Neurospora crassa OR74A: one gene and its partner. The protein of the gene in region 2 interacts with the protein of the main gene of each other region in a biochemical or structural test. Links are inferred from orthologs where the notes say so. Each region holds a gene or a part of one and is shown on either strand. Other genes may lie near its edges.

What was found.
Region 1: the proteins of rco-1 (region 2) and NCU02121 form a complex in vitro, tested with the Saccharomyces cerevisiae proteins (2 studies listed by BioGRID). The link is inferred for Neurospora crassa OR74A from reciprocal best matches to the Saccharomyces cerevisiae genes TUP1 and CTI6.

The regions. Positions count from the first base shown.
Region 1 is NC_026501.1:1,173,969-1,177,718, forward strand, and holds the start of NCU02121 (transcriptional regulator), read right to left. Parts: upstream 2,539-3,750; 5' UTR 1,101-2,538; coding exon 508-1,100; exon of another isoform or gene 336-507; coding exon of another isoform or gene 325-335; coding exon 25-324; intron 1-24. UniProt on the Saccharomyces cerevisiae protein: Component of the RPD3C(L) histone deacetylase complex (HDAC). Responsible for the deacetylation of lysine residues on the N-terminal part of the core histones (H2A, H2B, H3 and H4).
Region 2 is NC_026503.1:1,905,171-1,908,920, forward strand, and holds the start of rco-1 (transcriptional repressor rco-1), read right to left. Parts: upstream 2,282-3,750; 5' UTR 1,762-2,281; coding exon 1,629-1,761; intron 1,476-1,628; coding exon 1,394-1,475; intron 1,319-1,393; coding exon 427-1,318; intron 367-426; coding exon 1-366. UniProt on the Saccharomyces cerevisiae protein: Acts as a component of the CYC8-TUP1 corepressor complex which is involved in the repression of many genes in a wide variety of physiological processes including heme-regulated and catabolite repressed genes.

The DNA of each region.
Region 1 (3,750 bases), on a different chromosome or scaffold from region 2:
GGGCAGCGTAGGACGTGGACCTACTCTTCGCTATCGCTTCTGCCTCGCTTTGTTCTTCTCGTGGTAGTTTCGGGTTGTTCAGAAGCTGCATCTTCTTTGCTTGCTTCAATCGCCCGTCTCAGGGCTTCAGCTTCGTCGTAGTCAGCGCCTCGGCTGTTCATTGTAGATCTTCGCTTCGACGCGGAGGAAGTGGTCGTACCACGTCCGTTGCGGCCCTCCGGTTTATCTTTGGGCGGTGATCTCGTGCCATCCTTGTTGAGAGAGGCGGATCTAGAAGTGGTTCGAGAGGGGCGCTTAAGGGGTAGGTAGTGCGAATAGCGTTGTCTGTGAATCATGTCGTCAGTCGACTGGAGAGTGATTTGACAATTGTCGTGGATGGAGGAGGATATTGCATGAAAGGTGAGGCAACGTCAAAGGCGTGTGATGGGCTTTGACGCACTCCAGCTGAACTTTTGACGTTCAGCTCCCGACCATGCAGCCACGGGACCAAAGAAATGCAAGATTTACCCGTTGCTCGCTGTGAAAATTTTGTGGAATTCTTTGCGGCACTCTTCGCAGAAATATTCGTCTGGGCTTGACTCTTCGGTCATAATGCCAACGCAGGCGCCATGTTGCCAGACCTTGCAAATGTCGCATTGTACGAAAAATCCGGCCGCATCGTCGGTGACATCGGTCGCGAATATGGGATCGATATCCATGCCGTCCTTCAAGCCATGCTTGGAGTCTTCGTCAAACGGCGGAGGGCCTGGGTAGTCCTCGTAGCCGCAAATGCAACGAACGGCCTCGTCCTCGTCTTGAGCGTCATCGTCGCCGTGTGCCATTTCGACCTGCTCAGACTTGTTATTTGCCCTCTCTCTTTCTTCCTGCTGACCGCGGGTACGACGCCGGGTACCAAACGAGTCGTCCGCTGTAATTGTCTCGTCTGGAGCCTCAGAGGATAGCGATCCCGAGGAGCTTGACTTTTGTGGTGAGACAGCTTTGTTGAAATACCTGGTGCTGCGCTCACCACGACCTGACGTGCTGGACGTGCTGGACGAGATTTGCGATTGTGATTGGGAGGTTCGCGCTCTTGACGACCGCCTCGGATCGGACCCTGCCATTGCTTGCAGCTGGGGCCGCAGTCAAGGCAGGAGCTCGAAGTATGTAGGGTATATAATCGACACGATTGGTGTCGAAGAGAAGAACGCGATCCGCAGGCCCGTTGGGAGGGGGTTCTGCGGTCGGGTATCCGGAGTGCCTGGGGACAATGACGCACCCTAGCACTAAAACAATTTCGTTTTACTTGAAGCTCGACAATTGCGATGTGGATGGTCGGAGAAGTAATGGGGCGTGATGGCGGGAGCAGACCCGAATCACGCGGTCGTCTGTCGATGTGGTCACGGAGAAGCGAGGACTCGACGAGGCCGAGTCTCGACCGCAAATTGAATCTGACACAATCGTCGAGTAAAGATGCAATCGAAGGTGTCGAGGTTATGAGACTCGTGCTAGGTTCGAATCGTAGCTTGAAGCCGGTGCTTGGTGGTAGAGAAGCGTAAATTATCGAGGATGGATCGACCGACGGCGGAGGATCGCGAGGGCTCAGGTCGAAAATCCAGCCAAGTGAGGAGGGTGCTCGATCGGGGGCGTGCTCGAGATGAGGATGTCGCCGGCTTGCTTGTGTAAATGTCCACGAAAGCAAGACTCGTTCGCTGCTAACTTGGGTAAAAGATTGAGCGGGTACGAGGGTGGGAAAAAAAACGAAGAAGAGGGGACGGAGGACGGCGAGACGAGATGTCTATGACGGGATCCGAAGTGCTGGCTACGCCAAATTGGAGATCGGGGAGCGGTGGTCGACGTGGTAGGTGGGTGGTAAACTATTTCTCATGACGGAAATAACAAAGTTCGACAAGTCGGGTTTTCGTGTCTGTGGCCCAGGGTGTACGTGGTGAGGATTTCCAGAAAAGAGGAGAGCGAGGACGGCACTGCCTGGAAGGAGGAAGCGATGGCTGGTCTCTCTTGGTGTGTGTACAATGGTGGAAACCGAGCCCGGGACCTAGTCGAGTTGCCAGCCCCAAAAAAGACGGGACCACCGCACCGCACCACGGCACCACGATGCACCACCACCACCACCACCACCACCACCACCAACCCGACACGGCGCTCTTGCAGTTGCTTGCAGTAAATTTTGGCAGAAAGCTGTCCGCCCGGGCACCCACTCTGGCTGCCGCCCACCCACCCACCAACCCCGGTCTGATCCCGTCCGTCACTCAGGCACCTCCTCACTCCTCCTCACGGTAGCGGCAGTGGCAGCGCCAAAGCGTGCGGGGCCATCTGGAAGCTCGGTCCCCATGTTGACCAATCCGGTGCCGGGAAAAAGATAATGGGCCAGCTCGACCAGGATATCAATGATCTCTGGGATGCGGCGTCGAAAGCCGGCTTGTCGATGCTGTTCAGTTTCCAGAGACGAGTAGATATAGTTTGATGTAAGAAAGTCGTATGCATAGGTATGTAGAGGCCGTAGAGTGGTGAATTACTGGTACCGTCCGTCGGGGAGGGTTCGTGCTATGACATCACGCCTCAATAGGTGAAGCCCGTGTCCAACCTGGACCGACAAGAGAATAAGGGGCATCTTGAAAACCGAAAAGGGTTTGAAGTGAAATGTGGTTCAAACAAACATCGATGGTGGAAGACAACGAAACTCGTTGTTGCACACAAGGGGAAATTATTTGGGGTAATGGGAACCTGAAGGGGAGGCGGGGGTTCGGTTCATTGCTCGCTGCAGGTCGGGTCTGGTTCAGGTTGTTGTCGAGTTGAGCAAAGCTTTCCAAGTGAAATTGCACCTACCGTCGTCGAATGGGTCTCGTTTGCTTCTCAAAGGGAAAATGGCAGTACATGGTGTTGTCAGGGCGGCATCAAATCAGATGCAACTACCTATGAATGGCACCGGCACCGCAGTGTTCTGCCTGTGATGGAAAACGCTTGGCTCTTGCTCGAATACTGTACTAGTACTAGTGTAAGCACAGTGCGTCCGGCATTCAGGAACCGCCGCCCACAACCCGGCCTCCATTCAGGTCGCTTTCAATGTGAGTGTGCACGGCGATGATTATGGTAAGTAGAGACAGAGAGACTTGCCCACCCAGAAAGAAGCTCGGTTGCTGGGGAAGTCAAGCCAAGGTACACTAGCTGGTACCTAGAGGTAGTTAATGGGTCAACATCAGTCGACTCGGTACTTCCCCATGATCTTCCAATTGGATTTGGGAAATCGAAAAACGTACAGGTAGCTCAGTACAGTAGCTAGAGAGGTCACGGTATGGAAATTCAGCATCTCACTTGGGGCTGTTCCTTGGAGTCTCCAGTAGTGTACCCGTGGGAACACCAGTATGCTCGACGGTTCGTGATTGCTGTCGGCCTCTAGGGTATCATTATTGGGTGATCTCTCAGTTTCCGTTGATCTCTCCATGTTGGGGAGAGACCCAATGCCATGCGTGAGGCTATTCACTCGGATGGGAACCGGAAACCGAATGGAGGCTCCCCCGGCCGGGAACTACAAGTGGAAGGCGGGGGCGGAACAGCGGGTGTACTTCTAGGTTCTGGCAGCATGGCAGGCAGCGGCATTGGGTCACCGACCTCTGGCTGCCCTCTCCTCAGAATCACAGCCCGAAACCCGCGCTGTCCAGACGACCAACTGCAGTGAGGTGGTTAAGGACGGGATGCTTACATAATGCAGCCAAGGGTGCGTCGATTAGGTCCCGCCTACCATCCCGCCCGCCC
Region 2 (3,750 bases):
CAAACTGCCGCTGACAAGGTTGCGGCCATCAGGAGAGAAAGCAACACTATAGACGCTGTCCTTGTGGCCGTCGGGGCCCTCAAGACGCTCCGCAAGGTAGCCTCTCATGTCCCAGACACGGACGCTCTTGTCCAGGGATCCGGCAGCAACGAATTGCTTGTCGGGCGAGATAGCAACAGTCGTGACACCATCTTCAATAGAGAGGACAGACGTGTTCTGCCCGGTTTCAATGTCCCAAAGACGGACGGTTCTATCACCACTGCCGGAAGCAATAGTGCGACCATCGCGAGAAAAGTCAAGACTGTAGATATCTTGTTCGTGGCCATGGAAGGTGTTACGAATGGTCCTCGACTGAATATCCCAGACCTATATCGAGCATGTTAGCAAGAGAAGACCACAACAGTTGGCTAAGGCATTGACACGTACTCTGATGAGCTTGTCCTCGGCTCCAGTGGCAAGATACTTGCCATCAGGGCTGAAGCAGACGCTTCTGATGTAAAGATCTCCAGTAAGATCGATGTTTTCGTCCTGCAGGATGCAAAGCTTCTCGCCAGTCTCCACGTCGTAGATCTGAGCGGAACGGTTGCAGCCCGTGGCAACGTACTTGCCATCCATGCTGAACCTCACGCAGCAAACAACGCTCTCATGCTGAAGAGTGTGAACCAGCTCAACGTCTAGTACCCTGGGAACGGCCGCGTTGAAGATAACCCACCAATCGTCCTTCATCTTCTTGATGTGATTCGGAAGGCGGTCGGGATCAAGCTCGCTCAAAGCGTTGGTCTGAGAAGGCGGAGGCGGAGGAGGCTGGTGGTGCTGAGCCATCCGGGTATGGTCCGGGGTAGGATGGGTTGGGACCTGGGGCGACTGAGCAGGGCCGCCGTTGTACGGGATGGGAGTGTTGATTTGAGGAGTAGCCGGGCCGCCAGCGGGAGGTCTGCCGATGCCACGCTTGCCGGCAGGGCCAGGAGAGGCAGTGCTCTGGGGCGGCTGGGGAGGAAAGTTACCAGGTCCCTGGGGCCCTTGATACTGCTGCTGGAAGGGAGGCTGCTGAGACGGCGGCGGGGGCGGGGGAGGAGGACCCTGCAGCCCAGGGGGCGCAGGCATATGTGCTGGCTGTTCTTGCTGCTGCGGTGGAGGGGGAGGAGGGACCAAGGCCTGCCCGCCCTGACCTGCCATGATCGCGCTAAAGACATTGCTTCCCAAACCAATAGCAGGGGGCTGCTGCTGGCCAGGATGCTGTGGAGGCGGGTTCATGTTGCCGGGAGCGCCTCCGCGGGCTTCAAGCTGGCGACGCAGCAGCGCAATCTCATCCTCGTACCTGGCCGGATATTGTCAGCCTACTTCTTTCGAGTCTCGGATATGCTTGACCGGGTTTTTTGTTTGACTGGCTTACTTTTGCTTTACGTTCATCTGGTGCTGCTCCATCTGGAAGACTTTCTCACGGATGACCTGAAGCTCCTGAAGCTGCGTTGCCACTATTGTCTGGTCAGCCGGGTACACGTCCCAAAGCCTAAGTCGCTGATCACAGGCCCGAAACAGCCCGCATCACCATGTACAGCTGGATTCCCTCGTTGCCAGATGGGAGGAGGATGGCCACCCAGCGGAGGGATGTGTGGAGAAACCCTTACAATCATGCTGGCAGGTCTCGTACTGGCGAGCTTGTGATTCGAATTCCATTCTGATGCCATCGAGGAGCTCGTTGAGGCGACCCATGTTCTGAATGGGCGCGCCCGCAATGGGTCGGTGCGGATACATGGACATTTTGCGTAGTTGGGGCGGTTGTCCGCGTGCTATGTTTTGGTGAAGCCGACGAGAAACGGACAGAAATCCAAGCCGGGAACGCTAGGGCGGTCGCGCAGGTTTGCGAAAGCTCAAGACAGCAATCGGCTGAAGGAAGCGAGAACGAGGGATGCGACCGATGATACAAAGGCGGCTGGCTCGTAAGATGACGCAGCTGGAGTGCAGCCGGCGTGAGGTCGGAACGAGCGTCGAGCTACCGTGCGTTGGGATGGCGTGCGCGCGGGACGGATCGCAGCGCGAAAAGACGCAAAAGATGGGGACCGCGAGGGGGGCTCGGAATCCCTAGTCGAATGGCACTGTACACAACCAAGGGCCAATGACGGGATCCGAGGGGTTGATGGGGATGGTGATGCTGGCGTTGCGCCAATTCCGATGTTTGTTGTTGGGAGGACTTGAGCGAAGCAGTTAGGGCTGCAGGCTGCAAATGCTGGTGTTGCTCCGGAGTAGTGTTGCCAAAGGGGGGAGGAGAAGGAAAAAGAAGTGGAATGGCCAGCAGGTGGCAGAAATGACCTGGGCGTGCGGGTTCTGGGGCGGCTCCCGGTGTGGATTCCCATGGACTTGCAGCCAGCGACACCACTCCCACCTCCAGCGGCTGCGGGCACTTGGGTCTTGGACTTCCTTCTTGGGAGGACAGGGAGGCGGGCTGCCGACGGGCTGCGGACAGGGCAGCAAGCTCGCAGTTCCACTTGTCAGCCTGTGGCCTGTGGAGGGTGGCACCGGTCACGCACTTAGTACCTACCTAGTGCATGTAGTGTACATCGGACGGAACGAAGGTACTTTCGTCGTATCTTGCGACCGAGAGGTACGTGGCTTCCTTTGATGTCGTCGGTAAACGGACAAGTCACTGAGCTTGCAAAGTGCTCCAGGCAGTACCTCGCATAGTACCTCGCATAGTCCATGAGCCACCCGCCATTGCTACGAGTTCCGACATGGATAGCAGGGTTTAGGGTTCCCTGTGTTACCTACCTAGGCGTAGAATATGGAATGGTAAGGCCAGAAGTGCGATTGTGGAGAGCATCTGCACAAGAGTGGATCTACGAGATTCTGGAGACCCAGTCGTCAGTGTTCGTGCGCCAGTTACGTAGAGGTGCCGCCCTGGTCACTGCTGTGATGGTTCCATTCCCGGAAAGCGAAAGAAGGTCGGCCCGGGTTGGGGGAGTGCATTGACGGACTCACCCCTCGATGTCTGCTCACCGCGTCCTGTGGTTGGGCTTTGTCACTTACGAGCACAAGGTAGCTGGTAGATGCACGTACGATTGTACACTGCACCTGTGTCAGCATAAAATTTGTTAGCGCGGTGATCTGTAGGTGGCGAGAACTTAATTTTCGTACAAGAGATGGCTAGCTTGACCACATCTAAGCCCCTATATACTGTCCGGTGGCGGTAGCGCGCTAACAAGTTTGCTGCCAGCAAAGGTGTACACAGTACATTGGAAACTCTTTCTTGCCTTTTTTCATCTTCCCAAGTTCGGATTGATCCAGGCGGGCAATCAGCGACGGGTATCCTGAGAGGCTACCTTTGCAAACAGTGACTACCTCTACTGCAAGTGTCGATAAGGAAAACATTCCCTTCATCCGTTGGTTTTTAAAACCAGGTGATTGCGAGGCGTCTGCCATTAGGCGCAAAACTCCAGACAAAACCACAGAGTGGTCTCCACGGCATTACGTACACTACAGTACCGTGGGGCAGAAACCATCGTCCAAGCGCTTACACATGCGGTTTTGAAACAATGCAAACCACTGCACAAACACAACCTCAACTCCCACTGCCACCGCGATGAATGCTACGGCATACAGCACACCATAACGCACTCGGTCTGCACGATATCGATTTAGCACCTCAATCAGGCATAGTTTTTGAGATGGACTTTGACCCTCAATATACAGGAACACAAACTCGCCTCCTTCAGACGACCTAGGTATCTTCTACGAACGCTCCCCCAGGTTCGG